Rhinolophus ferrumequinum: one gene and its partners. The protein of the gene in region 3 interacts with the protein of the main gene of each other region in a biochemical or structural test. Links are inferred from orthologs where the notes say so. Each region holds a gene or a part of one and is shown on either strand. Other genes may lie near its edges.

Evidence for each region.
Region 1: the proteins of TRIM21 (region 3) and UBE2W are reported together in a solved structure, tested with the Homo sapiens proteins (2 studies listed by BioGRID, with this or other methods). The link is inferred for Rhinolophus ferrumequinum from reciprocal best matches to the Homo sapiens genes TRIM21 and UBE2W.
Region 2: of the proteins of TRIM21 (region 3) and USP4, one has a biochemical effect on the other in vitro, tested with the Homo sapiens proteins (2 studies listed by BioGRID). The link is inferred for Rhinolophus ferrumequinum from reciprocal best matches to the Homo sapiens genes TRIM21 and USP4.

What each region holds. Positions count from the first base shown.
Region 1 is NC_046297.1:8,840,904-8,847,892, forward strand, and holds the start of UBE2W (ubiquitin-conjugating enzyme E2 W), read left to right. Parts: upstream 1-3,979; 5' UTR 3,980-4,058; coding exon 4,059-4,073; intron 4,074-6,989. UniProt on the Homo sapiens protein: Accepts ubiquitin from the E1 complex and catalyzes its covalent attachment to other proteins.
Region 2 is NC_046300.1:7,022,045-7,028,957, reverse strand, and holds the start of USP4 (ubiquitin carboxyl-terminal hydrolase 4), read right to left. Parts: upstream 3,011-6,913; 5' UTR 2,953-3,010; coding exon 2,852-2,952; intron 1,108-2,851; coding exon 980-1,107; intron 1-979.
Region 3 is NC_046294.1:47,069,095-47,076,247, reverse strand, and holds the start of TRIM21 (E3 ubiquitin-protein ligase TRIM21), read right to left. Parts: upstream 3,023-7,153; 5' UTR 2,900-3,022; intron 2,794-2,899; 5' UTR 2,648-2,793; exon of another isoform or gene 2,583-2,647; intron 1,926-2,582; 5' UTR 1,889-1,925; coding exon 1,481-1,888; intron 1,001-1,480; coding exon 905-1,000; intron 1-904. UniProt on the Homo sapiens protein: E3 ubiquitin-protein ligase whose activity is dependent on E2 enzymes, UBE2D1, UBE2D2, UBE2E1 and UBE2E2.

The DNA of each region.
Region 1 (6,989 bases), on a different chromosome or scaffold from region 3:
TGCCAACCAAGCCTGCCGTGACCAGGTCTTGCCTGCCTGTCTTCCACCTCCTTCCATCAGTTTGTTGGGCAATAACAAATTGTCATCCTCTGTAAACACCAATTACATGGTTAACGCTCCCTCTGCCTGGAAAGCCTCTTCTCCCCTTTCTCCTCTGCTCAGGCCTTGGCTCTTCCAGGAAGCCATCTTCAGGTCCTAGGCAAGACCACGTGACCCTCCCTTATGATCCCCTCATGGCCAGTCAGTAGCTTTTGTATCAAAATCCTGATTGTAAGCAATGTGAACATGGGGACTGTATGTTACTCATCTTTATATCCCCAGTGCCTGCCATTTAATATATGCTTTTTGGTCAAAATTGCCACTTTTCCTTTTTTTTTATATTTTGTCAAATTATGAATATTCACCAATTAGATATATTTGGGGGCATCAGATATTCTGGGTGAAATGTAAAATCCACCTTGCCTGTTAAGTTTCATAGTTTAAAATGAATCGATTTGATTAGAGTTACTTTTATTTTCACACCTCATTCATATGGGTCATTAAGAAATGGAATTGGAAGGACAGGATTGTGTACTAGTTAAATAATTCAATCTGTAGAGTCATGGAGTTCGAGTTCCCAAGGTAGAATTCTGATTCTGCTGTTCATAAGGTGGGTGTCTGGCAAATTCCCCGGCCTCTCGAAGCCTGTTTCCTTCCCTAGAATGTGGGAATCGGTTTATGTACCTCATAGTTCTGTTTTAAAGATTAAATAATACAGGAAATACAAGTGCCTCTTATGGTGGCACATGCAAATATTCAATCCAAGACAGCTGTTATCATTATTGCCCTTACTAAGGGCAGGTCTGGGAGGATGCCCCATGTGGGTGAGGACACTGGATGGGGTGGGGAGAGGCAGCATCCCGACCTTGCAAGTTTATCAATGGCAGGCTCAGTTCAGAGCAGAGTGTCTGCCCAGACTCTTCTGTGCTCACAGTGATGGGAAATTTGGGGATCTTGGTATGGGTATTTCTCAGTCACTGCCATATACCCCACTTCTCATCTCTAGCCAACATCACATCTGCCCACAGAAGAAAGAACAGAGTCATCTGGAAGATAAAGTAGGTACCGCGTCTCATCTACGTGGTGCTGTGCACTTCATGAAGTTCCTTTACACATGGTCTCATCAAGACTCCTCCCCAATCCATATGCTGGCATTTTTATCTCCATTTTACAGATGACAAAACTAAGGCCCAGAGAAGTTTAAATGACCAACTCCAGGTCACAGAACTGAGAAGTAGCAGAGTTATGATTCAAATCTAGGCCTTTTGATTGCAAGTCTAGTGCCTTTTTAACACATGGGTCCTTCAGGTTACTATGACTGTTTGGTTTCCCATATATCTTCCAGTTTTCTGCCAGAAAATGCAGCTGCTTTTAATCCTCTATCACAGGCTGTGCCTTTCCTTGAAAGGGAAAACTTCAGGCACATACACAGCTTGGGTCTATCCTGGTTTTTTTTTTTTTTTTTCTTCCAGGGAGGCAGAGGTGGGGGTAGTTTCTGAGATAAGAGAGAATCACCTCCTCTAACCTGGTGGCCATTTCTAATTGCTGTGTAAATTTAAAAATGAATATCATTATCCAATCTAACAAAATAATAATTATTCCTTTGTATCATCTAATATCCATTTTATATTTAAATTTCTTCCAGTTATCTCAGAAATATCTTTTTACAGTTGGTTTGTTTGAACCAGGATCCAAACAAGGTTAACATTTGTTTAATATGTCCCTTAAATATCTTTTATTGCAATTTATGCTATTAAAAAGAATCTTTAAAGGTATGGGAAGTTTTAACTTTACTGTTGCTGAACTGTTTACAAAGTGATTGTACCAATTTCTTTCCTACAGAGTTTATGAAAGCTCCACTTCCTCTCCCACTTTTGGGATTGTCAGACATTTTACCTTTTGCCTATCTGATAGTAAGCCCCACTCTAAAGAAATGAGATGTGAGCCTAGTCTTCAAACATTGTGTAATCAAGTGTTTTAGATATAAAAATTTCATGCCCTTTGGCTATAATTACATGTCCCAACCCCATCTGAAGGTCACTATTTTATCCCGAGTACATTGGGACTTTCTATTATATATTACTGAAAGAATGAAGAAGATAGTGAAGTAATTATGTACTATTTAATATTTCCTAGGAAAGATAAGCCTGGTACTGACTTTCCCCTCTATTACGATCCTTTTTAACACACAGAAAATTCAAGGGACCAGATGTTGATTTCACTGTGAGGACTGTCAAGATTCCTGTAACCCCTTATTAGTCTTTGTAATGGCAGGTTGTTGGTTCTGATGATGTCATAATGCTTTGCGGGGTCACCTGATGTCACTTACACCTTAGGGAGAATTAGCTTTTAAACAGTGAACCTTAGATGGTAAAATCTGATCTTCTGGAGCCATTTTCTGACATCATAGGAATAAAAAAATCTCCAGAAGAAAATAAATCTGGAAAAGTTTTCCTCTTTCGTTGGAATATATGGGTTTTACTCACAGTTGAAATGTTGCCAACACACTGGGCTAACACCTGATGTGCTTCGGGGTGATTCTTGGTTGCCAAGAGCCTCCAAACATTCCTTAAGAACACAGTCGTTTCGCACAACAAAGGGAAAGCCAGCCCATTTCTGGCAATGAGGGTGGAAGTCTGAGAGAAAAAAGTAAACCAATATAACTTCCTCTGTACTGATGAAGAATAGTGTGTTTATTATTATAACATAGAATAATTGGTGTATTTTAAGATCTTTTTCCTTTTTGAACACACTTTACGTTAGGGAATTTCAAAGAACATAATCTAGCTTAAGAGTGGAAAGGATGATAGCCTACACTGCTCTTATATTTAAATATTAACTTCTAGAAATTTCTAAAAGATCTCCGAATTAATGAAAGATTTGAAGCTTTCATTCTGGTAAAGTAAAAGTTTTCTATGTGTCAGCTACCTTAATTTTTTAGAGCTAGAACACGAGATGCAAGCCTTCGGCTACCATTTTCCTCTTGTAAACCAACATCCTGAATTCTGTAATAGCTTTTTTAAAACGTGGCTTCTGATAAATGTTGGCAGAACTGGTGCATTCCCAGAATAAATTCCGTATGTTGAGCTTTCCCTACTCAGATACATCCCTAGGTCGAATGACCACAAAACTGCCCACCATGAGACAGATTGAAGTTTGGATGTGATAGAAGATATGTGTATATTATAACGTGACGGTGGTACTAAAAAAAGAAATTCATGTCTAGGGGCAAATGTCTCATCAAATGCCAATGCTGTGACAACCGTAACTATTACTGCTACACACGTGAATTTTAAATGGAGGGGATGGAGTGAAGGGGCGGAAATCGCACACAGACGAAAAAACTTCAAAATTTTCCCTTCCCTTTTGGGCAAGTTACAGCGCTACAAATCTACCCTTGTCTTTAAAGCAAAATGCTGTTCTGCTCTCAATTCTCATCCCATTGTACAAGGAAATCTGTGTCTCTCTTCCCCGAATAGGAATATGAGAAGCCCTTCAGATTCGAAAAGTCAAAAAAGCCCCGCGGAAAGTTTTGTCTTGCCCCAAGGGTCTGAAAGTGGGCGCCGTAGTGTGGAAAAAACATACATCCGAAAGGGAAAATCTGTAAACCATACACCTGTGGTTGGAAAAACAAAACAGAACAAAACAAAACAAAACAAAAAAACTCACAGTCCGGACATCATCAAGATCTCGAGACACAGACAGACAAATAAAAACAACTGTGGCCAGGTCAGAACGGGACCCGCGTTTCCCAAGCGATCCGCATGGCGGGTGGGCTCACAGCCGGCGCCAGGGAGCGGGATGAAACGGGTGACACGGACAGCGCGGGTCACGGCGCCCCGCCCGCCCCTCCCCGCGGGGGCCCAGCGCGCCAGCCAATCCCGCTTACGCCACGCCCATCCCTCGGAGGCCCCGCCTCCCGCGCCCGGGATGCTGGGCCCCCACGGCGTGACGTAAGCACGGCAGCTCCGCCCCCTGCGTCTCTGGCCTCGCCAGCCCTCGGGGGGGATGGTTCCATCATGGCGTCAATGCAGGTGAGAGGAGTTTGCAGCATCTGGGCGGGCGAGGGAGCCGCGGAGAGGATGGGAGCGTTCCGTCGGGGGCGGCATCTGGGACTCGAGGGCACCCCGGCGGGCTCGGGAGCGGCCCTGGGGGCGAGTCCTTCCCCAGCCTTAGGGCGTTGGGGAGGGGTGAGAAGCGGCGAGAAGAAGGACGTGGGGGGGGGGGGCGGTATCGGTTGGCCGAAGCGGACACCAGCCGGCCGGGAAGTTGGGGGATAAAGAAGGCGAAGGGAAGGGAAGGGCAAAGTTTGACGTTGGCTCGGCGGCAGTAGTCTGGGAGCCGTGTCCCGCTCGGACAGACGGCCGCTGCAGGCCTGCCCGCCGGACCCAGGGATGCCTTTTCCTCCGCCGTCCCCGGCCTGGCGGAAACAGCTGCTCTCGCCGTTGTCGCGCAGGGAAGGGCGGCCCTGAGAGGGGCTGAGTGTGGGGGAGCTGAAAACGCGTTCCGGGAAAAGACGGCTGGATGCAAGGGCTCTCGGCGGCCTCTCCTGAGGCCTCCCACGCCGGCCTCTCTCACTGCGCGGCCCCCGGCTCTCTTCCCTTTGACTCTTAATCCTTTGCCACTTGGGTACCTTCCTCTGCCAGCCTCCTCACTCTCAACGAACAGCAGCCCACTTTCTCACTCTCCCCGAAGCTGCCCTTCGCCCGTCGACATCATCGCCTCCTAATATGCAATGTCCCGGAGAGCCGAGTCACCGACCCCCTTAGAGCTCCCGGGATAGAGAGCTCGCCCTCAATTTTTTTTTTCCCCCTAGGGTGCCCCACCCATGCAGTCGCGGTCCGACTACAGCCCTTTGCCCTTCTTCCCCTGATCTCTAGTGGAACCTTAGTTTGGTAGAAGGTGTTTGTTAACTCGTGTCATAGCTACCTGGCTTGGCAATGCATGGTTTTCTGGCTTTCCAACTTAATGTAACCCTTTTTTTCAAATTCGAGGAGTTGGTTTTTTTTTTTTCTGGCAAAGATGGCAACCACAAGTGCAGTGTTTTAGAGATTGACTCCGCATTATCTATGGCCTGCATTTGATTTACAGATGAAGACTACCTGTATCAAAAGACATAGGAAGAGAAGGCAGAACTCCCGTCTGGAGTGTCAGCCGAGCGCTTTTTAGAGTTTTTCTCGAAAGGATTTTGTGCTTTTGTTTTTAGAAGAATAAGCAAGCCTCCCTATACACCCCTCCGTTTTTGTTTTTTTTTCCCTCCTTTCTAAGCATAACAGTGGTTTTCTTTTATCTCTTTTATTGCATCATCTTCCTCTTATGCACGTATTTGCTTCACATTTACTTACGTGCTTTTGGGTTATCCCCTTTCAACCTGTTTGCCACACGGTATTCTTTTGACTTTTGCTTCTCCCTCTGGACTTTCCTGGAGAATTGGAAAAAAATGTATATAACATTCCTCGTTGAAAAGATGTCAGCGAAATGGTGCAGGGAAAAAACAAGAACAATTTCAGGAAACATACTTTACACTAATCTCCCCAGAGACGTTAGAGAAGTTTCGTCATTTGAGACCAAAAAAGGAACTGTGAAATACTCGTTGAACAGTAGATGGGCTATACGACCAATTTAAGATTATTTGTGTTAAGAGTAAAACTGTTTTAAGACTAAAAATTAAGCTTACTATTCATAATATTTGTGATTATATTTCACAAGAAAATAATAGGGATAACTTATTAGCTAGTTAGATTTAGGCTTCCAGTCTGGAAAAGGCAGATTTCAGTTTTTAAGAGAAAAATGAGTCAGTATGGAACTTAATGTTGATAATCTTGAATTTTATGTGACGACTTAAACAATGGGGAAAAATACTTGCCAGTGTAATACTGCATTTTTCTGTGCCCCAAGTACTACCTTTGTCTTATCGCCTTTTATTTCTTTGTGTCTTCTGATGAGAGGAATGGAAAACTGGTGTTCCCTGGTGTTTTAATTCAAGTAAAACTGAGTCTTTTATTTGTATTTTAAAAACATCTCGTACAGATTTTCTGGTAGTATCTTGAAAACTATTTTAATATAGATAAATCCAGCTTTTTGAAACACAGCACTCCTTCCAATGTGGTTCTTCTGTCTTTGGTGAACACATTTTTTTTCCTGACCATCTTAATAGCAAAGTTGAACTTTTTTCCCGAAATAACTGTTACACATAAAATTGCAGCCAAATTATGACATTTGTTCATTCGCTCATCAGTTATTTTTTGAGGGCCCACTCTGTCAGATACTCATCGAATTGCTGGCGATGGAGAAGTGAACAAAAGCAGAAAAGATTTCTGCCCTTGTGGATGTTAACAGTCTAGTTGGGGAAGTCAGAGAAGAACAAAATATTTAAGTTAATTGTGTCCTGTGTTAGAAGGTGATAGTGCTGTGGGAAAAAAGTGTGGAAGGAGGTTAGGAAATGGATATTTTGGGGTTTCAGTTAGAGTGCTTGGGAAAAGATGTGCCATACATGAATGCGTCTCTGACCCTGCCTTTATCTAAAAAGTTTTCAGATTTCTTACACCAGGATATTACTGCTGCTGAAGAGGTTACTTAAGCTCTACCAGGAACTGTATTTTAAAAACATGCATGTTATACAAATGTAACATAGGATTTGACTACTTGAGTTGATAAAAATGAAATAAATTAGTCTTTAAGATCAATAACATCAATTAAGGATAGACTTTGAATTTCTCGTTCAAAAAATATTTATACTCGGAGAGTATATATTTTACAGCTGAGGTTATACCTGCTTTAGTGTACCCTATCCGTGCCTCCCAACCTTTTTTCCGGTTGTGGTACACGGGGAAAATAATTTTTGACTGGCATGCTGAGGTGGGTGGGGTTGTGGAGGTTGGAAGCATCTGGCTAGACAGTGAGAGTGGTTGGAGACGGTCAGTGTCCCAGCACACCTGTAATGCTGAGAA
Region 2 (6,913 bases), on a different chromosome or scaffold from region 3:
CTTACCCTTAGCTGAAGGTCATACAAAATGACTTTCGAGGGCCCCTCAAGCTCTAGGATTCTCATCACTATTACTATTAAAAGCCTTAAGATTTCTCTTTTCCAAAGAGAGGACAAAGAGCAAACGTTTTGCAATGATCCCTTGAGGCAACTTCATGGCATAATGCCACCATCTGACCTACTTCAGGAAACATAGCATATGACTGTTGATTGCGTCATTTAGACTCCCCAAAAACGAAGTCTGAGCTGAAGTACTACTCATTTTTAAAAGCACGCAGGTTAGTGTTAGGTACTTGGATCAAGCTTCATGCATTATCTGCCGTCCTGCTGCCCTGATTTTGGTCACAGAAGACAGATCACCTCTGTCCTGCTTGCAAGGGAGTCTAAAGCCAGGCAGAACAGACTAGGAAAGGCTGACTGTCATCTCTGTGCATCTACAGGTGCAAGCTAAGCTCAAGTGTGTCATGCATCACTTTTTCAATCACTTCTTCCACTGGGAGCTGATTGTGATAACTCTACTGACCCTCTATCTTTCCTCGTACTATTTCTATGACAAACACAGCCATCACAGAAATGTCTGAAGAATATCGACAGATCTACAATTTGTCCCACTGCAAAGGTAACCAAGAAAATTCTGGTTCCCAAATTTCAGATTCCAGATCAATTTCAAAATATCCTATTTCTTTCCATCCCATATACTAATCTAAAATCTCTGGCAGAATTTGCAAAAGGAGAGAGAGAGAGAAAGAAATTTAAAATGTTACAAGCATGCTCTTGTTAGAAGTTAGTTTAGGAAAAAGGCAGGTTCACTTCTCCAAGACTCTACAAAGACTTCTGCTACAGACATAAGTCAAGGACACTTGTTTCCGTCCCCTCACAGGAGGAAAGTCAAGTTCACAATGTCCATGTTACACATAATTATGACCTGAGGCCACTACCATGGTTGACATTTCGGATAGAAAAGGAACAGAATACTGCACCTGAAAAGAGTCCGGAGTTATCTATTGGGCCAGGAAACAGGTTGTGTTCACCCACATTGTACATATCCCAGCTGTCGAAGCCCACATACTTCTTCCACTGTTTGAACCACCGGCTGTCAATAAGATACCTAGAGATAGACAAAAATTTACTGTACCAGAAAAGCTGAGATAGTAAGTTTCTGCAGCTGCTCCCCTAATTTCTTTATGGTCTTTCCACTTAGGGAACAAGCAATCCCCACTAAAAAACATTCTCAAGACAGAAGCAGGGCCAGCCCCATATGGCACAAAGAGCCAATGGATACTTCTGAAAGTATCCAGTAAGTGAAACGATTATTGAAAAATGAATAAATGAAAGGAAGGAAATGACTGGCTTCAAAATATTTATTTAAAGCAAGTCTTTCTACTGTGAAAATCTTGTTTGCTAAGGACCAAGTCACTAATGTCATAATGATCTTTACAGAGGTCCTTCTCCAGGTAGACAATTTGGTTACACTGCTTTGCTTGACATGAATAACATTAAACTAATTTTCTTTCTGAAAATGGGATAATAACATCACACACTTCAGCATTCCTTTGAGGACCAAACAAAATGTCAAAAAAATGTGTGTACATATGTATATATGTGTACATACAGACATACATGTATACACACATGTACATACATACACATGTAATGTGTAAGTACAATTATATTGTCAAAAAGCAAGTTGATCTGGTTGTATTTTTTAAGTATTACTATGCTGTTTTACAATTAAGACAGAAGGAGGGGAAAACCTCCATTGGGGAAACAAAGCACAATTATATTGGTGAGTCTTTCAAATTTTATAACCAACAAACCTCAGAGATAGGCAGCTTCTCAGGGGTCACAAGGATCCATAAATCCAAATCTCTAAATGCTCTTTTCCCTCCAAACCCCTTGAACAATACCCTCTAAACACGCTAAGAGTGTGATTTTAGTCTCTCAAGTGTCCTCTGCCCCTGCGTGCCCTGCCTGTCACAGCTTGGCTCGCTCAAGAACAGTGTAAAGTCTTATATGAGTTCCTCCTAATCCCAATGTCTCTCTTCCCTGCTCATTCCTGGCACTGTAAGTGGCATTATCAACACCACCATGGTTTCTTAAAGAGGGAAGCTCAATCATTCTTTGTAATAAAGCCAAGGTCCAGTTTTCTACACCCACACAATAATACCACCCAGGAATCTCTTTACCAGTGGAAGTACTGTCCCTTTCACTAAACAATTTATTATGAAACTTCTTGTCTCAGACTTGATCTTCTAAAGCCCAGTCTTTTCATCTTTTTTTTTACCTAGGCTATGAAATGCTGCTGCCACAATTATTTTTGACATTTGCTACCAAAATAACCTGGGGCTCTCAAACATTTGTTCAGCTTCTGACCTTGACATCTGTTCTGCTGTTTACAAGTTACAAAGTGTCTACTTCTGATACGCCTCAACCCACTGAAGGGGAGTATGTAGTGTCAAATACTGCTACCACGGTTTTAAGAGTAAGGAACTGGGGTCTATGAGGTGTGGACGCCTTTGCCCAAGGTCACACATCGAATGCCCGAAGGCAAAGGGCTCTCCCCATCCTGAAGGTCCCGGTGAGCACTCCAGTCCCTATCCTGCAGCTCTTTCCCCCGCCGGGTCCGCCCACTGGGGTTCCGAAAGGGCTGAGACGACTCTCAACTCCGCCCACGCTTTCCCAGAAGTGACCTCAGGGTCCCTTTCCTAAGGGGCCGAGGTCAGGCCACTCTTCTCAGAGTCACTACATCGCCCCCGCCCGGCCCCTACCCAAGCCGAGAAAAAGGGGCCGGCCTGAGCGCCAGAGCCCCGGCCCCTGGCCCTGCGCGGCGGAAAGGTGGGCCGGGCGCTCACCACTGCGCCCCCCGTTGGAGCGTGGTCCTCATCAAAGCCCCTAGCTCCGATTTCTGGGTCTCAGCATCCGGTCGTTCACCGCAGCCTCCACCTTCCGCCATCTCGTCCGCAGCCCAGGCTCAGCCGGTCCGGACATCCGCCTCGCGCACAGCGTGTGTGGGCCACGCCCACTCACGCACGCACGTACGTGCGCGCGCCCAAAGCCCCACCTGGCGCAGCGGCCTTGAGCGCGGCCCGCCTGTGCGTTCTCTCCCGCCCCCACCCACCGCCCTCTCCCACGGGTGCGCCGTGAAGCAAAGCAGGGAGGGGGCCGGAAGAGCAGGCGGGCGCCGGGGAAGGAGCGGCCACTTCCTCCCGCTCCGAGGGGTGTCGGGCACTCCTTTCTCTGTACAGCCCCGCGGTCTCAAGGAGTCAGAATGCAGGACCCACGACCCCTCTCCTCTGATGGAGGAAGTCATTGAAAGGACGTGATGACCGGTTGACCCGCGAGCTCGACTCGGGCAATCGGAGGCTCCTCTCCCCCTTCCCCTGTCCTTGGAGTGAGCGTTCTGCTTGGCTCCAGGTGCTAGAAACTGCCCAAGGACGCAGTTTTGAGATAGTAATGTGGTGCCGAGAACTTCTGGAAGGTCTTCGTGACTGAGTAGTTAAGGCCTCTGTACAAACTTTAAGATTCTGGTGGTCAAGTAGCTCTACTTTTGCGCGCCCAAGACAAGCCCTATGTAAGTTACCCTGCTTATTAAACCTGCCACCTACCAATCTGGAGTGGCCTCCCTCTTCCGCTCTCCAAGTCTTCTGTGTTAGGGCCAGTTTCAGATTCTATCCGGAAGCTCCCTGGAGGCTTGCGGGGTTATCCTGGTCTTAAATGCACTGCTAGAGACTGGAAGCCTTGGAACTGGATTTTCTTGTGTTCACTCCTGCCATTCCACTTTCAGCAGAAGGCTTGAGCGCGTCCTTAGCTGCCCAGAAATAAGATGGGGATTACTGTCCCGGAGGATATCAGATGTGCCCGGTGCACCATCGCATATACTGGAAGGTGTGGTCTGATCATTAACAATCGTTTCAAATAGTCTGGATGCCAGAATCACCTGGCCCACGGCAGAATTCCACAAGCGCTCCACGCTGAGCTACTTGCCTTGCCAGAGGGACAAACAGCCACAGAGGGGTGATAGCAAGGTGGGAAGGGGAGAGGTCTGGGTGTGTTCTCCACCTTAGGTGCCCAGGCTTATTAATTTGTTGCTGCAACAAGTACAATATCCTGAATACTGTATCTTTTCCACTCAACCCTGTGCACAAAAACAGCCCTCTCCCTGGAGGGGACGGAAGCCCAGAACAAGGAGAAAGCCAGACAGTTGGTCTACATGACTCTCCATTCACTTGTCTCTCAGTTTCTATCCTCAGAGAAAAAAATAAGACTCAATACCTGCCTGTGTACAATCTAATAGAGAAGAAATCTACAAATACCCCTGCACCAAGCAGAGTGTGGTAAATGCCATTAACAGGTATGAACCAGACTGTAGACCCTGAGCTCTGAAAGGGAGCCTTTGACTTGAGTAGCATTTGAGTGAGGTCTTGAAGAAAGCATAGAAATGATGGTGTGTGTTACAGGAGGGGAGACTAGAGAGGTCAGAGAGAATTTCTGGAAAAAGCAGGGTAGGATCAAATAGTGAGGATTAGGCCAGTTGAGCTGGGCACAGACTACTGAAAGAGACTGAGATCTAAAGCTTTCTAGATCTACATGTCCTGCCTTGCATGGTCCACAGTTACTGTAAGAGGTTTTGGAGCAGAGACCAAATGGCTTAGGGTGCTTTACACACACACAGTGGTGCAGCCCAAAGACCTACTAGGGACCTTGCCCTGAAGAGGGGGTTATGAGAGAGGAGAGGAGACTCAGATGAGCCATGTGATGGAAGAGGGAGAGCTGGCCTGGTGAAAATGGTTGGTCATCTGAACAGATTTACTATTTCTATGTTGGGTTACGGCTAATTGAAATTAATTTATACTCCCTGGGACATCCATCACACACCATCTGGTAACACAGGCCTCTTGGTAATTGGGTAGATAGCAGGGGAAAGTAAATTTGGAATTAAAATTGCCTTCAATAATCACATAGCAATTAATCCCCTGCAGATAAGAGTTACCACTGGTGACTCTGGGTGGTGAACACACAGTGTGATTTATGGATGATGTGATACAGAATTGCACAACTGAAATCTATGTAATTCTACTAACAATTGTCACCCCAATAAATTAAAAATAAATTAAAAAAAAAAAAAAAAAGTTACCACTGGTGATAATTCAACAGCTGGGGAGCCAGGCCTGACAACCCGAGTGCCCTTTTTTGAAAGTTATTTGAAATTGTTAAAATGTTAACAAACAAGAAACACTACCTTTAGTCCTGTTATTTATGGAAAAAGAAAGTTGGGTTAGTGACATTACTTCAGAACCTACTTTAGAGAGTGTCTGCTTCCCTCTTCTTTTTTTAGCAGTTTCCCCTGTACCATTTATGGCATGGGTCACAGTCTTAAGGAAGTAGGACGAGTCCTCAGCACGACTAGAAAGAAGGACAAAACCTAATTATAAAAATGAAAACTTTGGAAAATCTTTTTAAACCTGGATTTCTTCAGTGCTATTAAATAGCAATAAAAATAGTACACTAATTATGGGTATTTCCTAAAATTTAAGACTGCAAAGTGCCAGTAGTTAAAATGTGAGGAACAAAGTGAAACATCATAGTCAGAAGATCATTATTTCCAATGTTTAAAACTTTTGTTAGTTTGATTAAAACGTTAAAAACTGAGAACAATGAGCATCTGCCATTTGTTCCACCTATTGTGGGAGTGACCTGTGGATTAAGAAGGAAGTGAGTTGGGGCTGGCCCGGTGGCTCAGGCGGTTGGAGCTCCATGCTCCTATAACTCCGAAGGCTGTCAGTTTGGCTCAGTTGGTTGGAGCGCGTCCTCTCAACCACAAGGTTGCCGGTTCGACTCCCGCAATGGATGGTGGGCTGTGCCCCCTGCAACTAGCAACAGCAACTGGACCTGGAGCTGAGCTGCGCCCTCCACAACTAAGATTGAAAGGACAACAACTTGACTTGTAAAAAAAGTCCTGAAAGTACACACTGATAAAGTCCTGTTCCCCTTCCCCAATAAAATCTTTAAAAAAAAAAAAAGGAAGTGTGATTCAGGCCAGGAGACACCCTGGCCCCAGGGCTATATTCCCCTTTAGGCCATTTGCTTGGGAGAGGTGTAGAGGTGTAGGCCTAGTAGGGCACTCATTTGGCCCCACAACCAGACCCCAGAACTAAACAACCCACCTGTTGCCATGGGAACTTGGGCCACAAGAACCAGGAGGAAAGCAGGAAGAGAGCTAGAGGGGAGAGGCTTGGCTGATTGGTCATGAACTGCTTGATGTTGGACTGTGGTGATCTACTTGAGGGTTTGTAATGTCTGGGCATGTGAACTTGAAGCTTTATTTGGTGCCAAATCATAAAGTTCTCGTGTGGGCTGGTACTGTGGCTTGCTCTATACCTAACTGGCATTGGCCCTCCAAAGTCACCCCTGGTCCACACTTAGCCAGCAATTACAGAGCACATGTGGCAGTGAGTGGGCACCTTTTGGTTAGAGGTGACACAAATATTGGGCACCTTTTGATTAGAGGTGGGCACCTTTTGATTAGAGGAGGGAAGTATTTTTGTTTCCTTCTTGCCTGTGCTTCCTTAACCTGCCCAGGGGACTGTGGAAAAGTTGAAAATCTCTAGTATATTTTAGAAGAACTAAAGGTCTGACCGGTAACATTATAACCTCTGTTATATAAGGGTTAGGTTATTGGGGAAGGTGACAGAGGCAAAAACCTGAAAGAATCTCATAGAGAGGAAGTGGGATCACCTTTCCTACCTTGGAGACTCGTGCAGTTGGATACATTCCATTCTGGTTATGCCACTGTCTATGGCCACTGTCTGACTGGGCAGGGAGGGGGGCGTGGCACCCTAGGCCCAGGTGTGGCCAGTGTCTTCTTTTTCTCCTAATTCTATTACCATCAGTGTCTTAACCATAAACAAATATTT
Region 3 (7,153 bases):
GGGGAACGGGATTGGTGGGGGAGGGTGCATTGTAGCTGCCCTACAACCACTGCTGCATTGGCCCATGTTACCAGAGACTTTCAACCTCTTTCAAAACCCAGTCAGCACCCACGTATGTCCTTTTGTCTTCCTATCTTGGAGAATTACTAAGACAGTAACACCTGTCCCCATCCCAACAAGCTCACAAAGATAACACCATTCTTAAGTCCTGGGGAAAGAACGTCTTTGTGATATTCTTTGCTTGCCCTTTTGTGTTAGTGATTGAAGAGTCACCGGATAACACAGGATGACCCTTTTTGCCACCACAGGCTGGTACACTTCCCCGGTCCCAAATCTTCCTCTTCTGGGTTCTACTGGTCATGAGTTCCTTCCACTCCTCTGGCCCTGACCCACCCCACCTCCAAATCACCAGTGCAGGACAAGCTTTAGTTCTCCGTTCTGTTTGAACCAGTGATCTGGACATGGTTAAGCAATCACCTGGTCAGACTGGTTTTCCTACCTCAGGCCTTGGTGGTTCCCTTACGTCTGTTCATCACAGCCCTTGTCATTTCCTAACAGGCCTAGCCACTGGTCATCTCTCCTGGAATACCTGTCCCAGACACCGTGGTGTGGTCATCCCCTAAGACTGGGCTCAAGGAAGAGGAGATTTAGGGTATGGCTTGTCCCTCAGTACCTTCTCCTAAGACTTGATCTTTGTGTCTGATTGGGAGTTCTCTTTGAGCTTCATACTCTTTATGCCCCTCTATCAGGAGACCTAGAGGACTGTTGGTTTTTGAAGAGTGAGATACACACACTCTATCACTCCTCAGACAGGCACAGCTATGGTCAGGGCTTTCTTGAGGCCAGGACCCTGGACCCTGCCTAGGCTTCTGATCTAAGATTCCCTTTGGGATATGACTCTTGCCTTCCAGTCTGTTCTCTTTGTAGCAATATCCACTTCCAACTTCTCAACCGACTCTTGTTCTTGTCTCAGTTTCCCTAATGCCACCTGGAGCTTCTCCTGCACAGAAAGATAGCAGGTTAATGTCCGACCAGATCAAGAAGTAGGGTGGGGTAGCATGAGGTGGGGGAAGGTTTACTGGTTCTTAGAAAAGCTTGTGTGTAGAGAAGGGAGGACTAGTCTGATTGGGGTAGGAATTTTGTGGAAAGGAAAACTTTGGAAAAAGCCTCATGTTTCTTACAAAACAGAGCCACATTGTTGGGGTGGCAGGGGTGAGGGCACTACTTATTCCTAACTAACCAGGAAGCCACAGGGAATCATGATCCTTGCATCATTTTACCATAGCGTCGCCCCTGCTCCTGGGGAATGAGAAGGCTGTGCTGACCCTTAATTTAGACATAAAAAGTGGGGGACACCCATTCTTTCTCTAATCTCTTTACTCTATGGGTGACTCTCTCCCATCCCAGCTCTGGGGAACAAAGCACTCATCAGGGCCCCCTCTCCTTTCTACCTGTTCATGCCTCTGTGCCAAGGCCTCACCTGGTATTCCTGAGCAGCCTCCTCAATCGGGACCATGGGATGGTCACGGTGTTTCCGGGACTGGGAACACACCCAGCAAAGGGTGGTCCCATCTTTCTCGCAGAATAGGTGAAGTTTCTCTCCATGTACTCTACATTGCTTCTTCTGTGTGCCCTCCTTGGCATTCTGGCTGATTTGTCTTAGGTTGTCTACCAGGTTGGCTAGCTGGCGATTTGGCCGGAAGTTCCTGAGCAGGAATTTGTTCCGGCACACAGGACAGACACTGCCTCCACCTTTCCCAACCTGAGAGATACATTCGTTGCAGAAGCTGTGGCCACATTCAATGCTCACAGGCTCCACCATAGGATCCAGGCAGACAGGGCATGTGACTTCCTCCCACATCATTGCCAAGGGCATTGCTGAGGCCATGAGGGGAAATGTTTCTATGAAGTGGCACTATGGAGATCTTGCAGTGACATAATGGGGAGAGGAGAAAAGGAAGGAAGACGACGAGAAAGGTTGTGTGAGAAAAGCGAAAAAAATTAAAAGGCAAACATGAGGGAGAGTGACCGGTAGGGGTTAAAACACAAGAACATTAAGCTGAATGACAAGAGCTTCTCCCCCCCAGTCTGCTCCATTGATCCAGTCACACAGAAGGGGGAAGTGAATCCCCAAAAGACAGTGAAGTTGTTGGGAACTTCAGCAATAAAGCTGTTCACAATTCTACTTTTATCACATTTATCTCTGCTTAAACCCTCAGTGCCCAGGCTTTTCCCATCCATCTTCTCCCATCTCAGGCCATCAGTTCCTTATATATAGTAACATGAATATATACAGAAGAATATATTTATTCTTGTAAGTATATACGTATATCTGTAGGTGCACCTATATATGCATATATGTATACGTATCTGTATATGTATATATGTGTATATGTTTATACAGACACGAATGTGTGGTTAGCACTCAGCACTCCAGGCCCTTCTCTCGGCTACTCCACCCTAGCAGCTTCATTTCCTCCAGGGCATAGATCTATAAACTTCTAACATCCTAAACAACTCTGTCCCTCTCTCCTCCAGAAAGAGACTTTTGGAGATGGGAGTCTCAAGGATTGCAGACCTACCCTGCACCGGGCCCTCCTGGCCCACCCTGCCTCCTAGGTTTCTGGCCTGGTGCTCCCAGCTTCACCTGGCCGCTCGTCCCAGCTCTAGTGCCAGCAACAGGGCAGCCCGAGCTCCTTCCAGGTGACTTGGTCCCGTTCACAGCCCAGCCTCCTCCCAGGGCAGCCGAGTCAGCGCGGGAAAAACTGCTGGGTTAGGGCTGAGTGAGCCCTGCTGCGGAGAAGGTAAAACTGAGAGTGAAGGTTCTAGGGGTGGGCACTGGTTGGAAGGGGCTTCTCAGGGAGGACTGGGGTACCTTGGTCTAGCCAAGTTCACTCACCTTTTCAGGGACTCAGCAGATGGCAGCCGGCTTTTTATTTCACTTTCGATTCCTCTAAAAGGGAAGTCTGAACGGGAGGTAGGCACACGCCCGAGAGTAGGAGGAGCAAGAGGAGGAGAGTACACTGAAGGGGTGGGGAGGGCAGGAGAGGGAAGAGGAAGTGGGAGGAGAGAAGGAGGAGTGGAGGGTCTCAGTATCCGAAGCTGCTGACACCTCTGTCTAGTGCTTCTTGGAGGTTGGGACTGAGTGGAAGCTCCGCAGCGTTTAGTTCTTACTTCGTGCTCCCTCCCATGTCCTCATTGTCTAATACAGTAAAATATCGTATCCACTAGATGGAAGCGTCATCACCCCATGCCAACATGCTATGCCTACGTTTGGGAGCTCTTAGGGAGGTTTGGATGGAGAGGAGAGTGCCTGGAGCTCTCCCTCACATGCCACCATCTGCTGCCTGCTTTCAGAAACAATTCCTTTTCAGGCGATTCAATATTTTAACTTAAGGGTGTAAAAGATTTATTGTGCTTGACCCCAAGGCAGATATCACACCAGTGAGTGGTAAGAAGGGAATTGACAGTTAGTTGTTGAACACCAACTGGGTTCTTGTCACTGAGCTAGGGAGTTTCTCAGGTTACTATTATTTTTATTTTAAAAATTGTAAAATACACCGGACATAAAACTTACCATCTTAATCATTTTTAGGTGTATAGTTTGGAGGCATTACATACATTCACATTGTTGTGTAATTATCACTACTATCCATCCATAGAACTTTTTTTCATCATGCCAAGCTGAAATTGTACCCGTTAAACAATGATTCCCCACTCAGCCTCTGGCAACCACCATTCTATTTTCTGCCTCTATGAATTTGACTATTTTAGGTACCTCATATAAGCGAAATCACACAGTATTTGTCCTTTTGTGTGACTTACTTCACTTAGGGTAATGTGCATGTTGAAGCATGTGACAGGATTTCCTTGCTTTTTAAGGTTGAATAATTTCCATTGTATGTTTATCCATTCATCTGTTGATGGACATTTGAGTGACAACTTCCACCTTTCGACTATTGTGAATAGTGCTGCTATGTCAGGTTATATTATTTAAGCTGCACAACATTTTAGTGATTTAGGGGTTGTTAAACTCATATTACAAAAGAGGACACTGAGCCTGAACGGAGTGTAGTGACTTGTTTGAAGTGACATAGTAAGCATACTTGTATGATAACTAAAGGGCCAGGGAAGATCCTCATTTTAGTGACAGCTGGGACATAACAGGCTGCCCTGTCAGTTCAAGCAGAGGCTTTAGGAACAGCTGGAAGGGATGTTGTTATAGTTGTAGAGGAGGAAGGAGCAAAGAGGAAGGCTAGAAGAATCCTCAATTCCTTTCAACTCTGACATTCTTTTTCTTTTTTGTTCTTTTATAACTTAAGGTAAAAACATCAGTTGAACTTTGCTTGGTATTTTCTATAGATTTAGGAAATGTAAAAACATTTCATGCTTTTTTGAAATTTCTAGTTCTGTTTTTAAGATAATTTACTTAATGCAAGCAATGTGAAAACAGAATGAAAAAAAAAATCCAAGGAAGAAGAGACCTGTACGTGAACTTGCACTCAGAAAAGGACTGGGCTTAACACCACTGCAGCCCCTTTGTTGTTTCCTGCAGGCACAGAGTTAAGCAAGCTACTGTCGGTGGAGGTAGAAAAGAGCAGAGGTCTCACTATAGGACAGGATTCAGTACCAACCCTGCTGTTTACTAGGTATGTACGACCTCTCTGAGCTTCAATTTATTAATTAAATTAGGATATCAATATTTATCCTAATATTTATCCTAATATCTATCAATATTTATCCAGGGTTGCTTTGGTATTGTTCAATAATATGCACACAGATATTTTAACATGCATAACCGCAACAGTCCCCATCTTGGCAATTGGCTATATGAATAATGTTGCCACTCATTTCAAGTCCCCTCACTCACTGCCAGTACTTTAACACTTCAGTGTTCTTTCCTGGTGAGGTGACCCATACCTTCATTCTTGAAAGATCAGTGTTCTCAATGTTCCTGTTTTTAACACATTGGCCATTGCTGTTGGACAATGATATCTAGGAATCTCTCTAATGTGTATTTTCGGTTTTAGGCATAGTCTTTCTTGCCCCTATCACATACCAGCAACCCCAGTTCTCCTTGGTCATAGAGGTAACTCATTCCAGCCAGTATAGAAACCCCATCCTCTTCCTATTTCTTCAGTGGCTTAAGAATCCCCAAAGAGCCAGGAGTAGTTGCAAATTCCCATTTCTTAGAACTAGATTTGCTTACTCTGGTGGAAGGGTTTCTCCTTGTTTTTACAAGACCCTCCAAACAGGGCTGAGCCATATGTTGAGGGATGGAAAGAAAACTTTCCGTAAATGAATTACTAGTTTGATGGTAACAGAGGCCACTTCCACTTTTCCTCTTGATTCTGTGACGAGTGTATGTATACAGGATATGAAAAAAAAGTCACCATATATTAGTTGCTGACTTTAAGCATGTACCAGAATTTATGAGACCACCTAATAATCTCGCAGGGTGGGGTTTCCAAACTGGTGCCATCCCTGAGCCTTTAGTGAGGCATCCCATAGCTTTATTGGTCCACCTTTTCCTGGCTGACGGTGTACATTGTAAGATCAGTGCATTCCACAGGGCAATCCCATTATCAGAATTCTTTGATTGTAAAATCAGATCCTTGGTTGCAGGTGATATTGTCGGGATAGCCTGATGGTGTAAGTTTAAAAATGGTGGTGCTGGCAGAACCAATTTAGAGGGTTTAGGGGGCCAAATGAATTGGTCTCTGGAATATTACCCAACTTGTGAGGACAAATTGCTCTTCGTTCAATGTAACTAACTGTCTTGATTCTCTTAGAAATAGGGAAGAATCTGGCTCAGAGTTGGCCTTTTATGTCCAAGTGCCTACAGCAGCAGGGATAGAGGCTCTGCCTGAGTATGCATTTGCTCTCACTAAGGTTTATCTGTTTACCACTATGGATAAGGATTCTTGTACATAAACCCATTGACCAAGCAACAGGTGACTGGGGCAGAGGCTCAGCAACATCGACGGGGTGAATCATCTTATTTATCTGGTTAGAGGTACCTTCTCTGCATTGTATGTTCTCTAGTGGGTATTCACACGGAACAAAAGCATTTTCACACTCTGGATACTTTCCTGGAAGTTCCATGTGTCCTTCTACCCATAACTCTGTTACCAGCCTTTCAATCTTGTTTTCTTATTTTTCAGCTCCTGACCTGCAGGCCAACCTGTTAGACACGGTGAAGGTGGTATATAAGTAACGTACACCAATTCATCTTTTCTCTCAAGCAAAGTATAGAACCACTTGCTTCAAATACGGTCCACTGGGAAGATTTTCCTTTATCCTTGTCTTACAGGGTGAAATGTATTGGACGCCAATCTTGGCACCATCTCAGATTCCCTCTCATCCTCTTACTCAGCACCCTATCAGTGCTGGGACACCACTCCATACTCATACTGTCACATTTGGATGAAACATCACACTGCAGGGTGTGCGATCCAGATTTCTGAACAGCCATTATAGGCAAATGACATAAGCAAAAAGTACAGGGAGTTAGTTTTCCATGACGTGAACATTGACCGATGAGAAATGGGAGATAGGAGTGGGACAAATAAAATCCCCTCCTTTCTCTCCTCTGGACAATTTCAAGGCGAAGTTCCTCACTGCAGTTCTTCTCGTGAGCAAGCCCACTGGCTGATGGCTGTGTCCTTTTGAAACTCATGAATCATTATCCAGTGTGATAATGCATTTCATTGTTCTACATTTTTTCTTGCCTCACTTCCCTTCCCCCAACTCTGAGTGCCCTCTCTCTCTCTCTCTCTCTCTCTCTCTCTCTCTCTCTCTCTCTCTCTCTCTCTCTCTCTCTCTCTCTCTCTCTCTTTCTCCTCTCCTTGCCTGGTGAATAAAGATCACTAATTTAATCCTACTCCAATTTCATCTGGATGACCTGGTTAATCTTCCTCCAATATTTGCAATGCCTAAACCCAGGTAGAAACCAGATCACCGGAGCCTGGGAAACCCAGCAGTCAGGGATTAACCTCTGACAACAAAGAGGGGAAATGAATATATTTGAGAGCAAACATGCAAATGAGTAGCTCAATTTTATATACGTTTACATTTTTCCAGCTATTCTTAATCATTTATCATCTCAATTTTACAGAGTGGATACTGATGCATTTAGAGTCTAGATACTGGG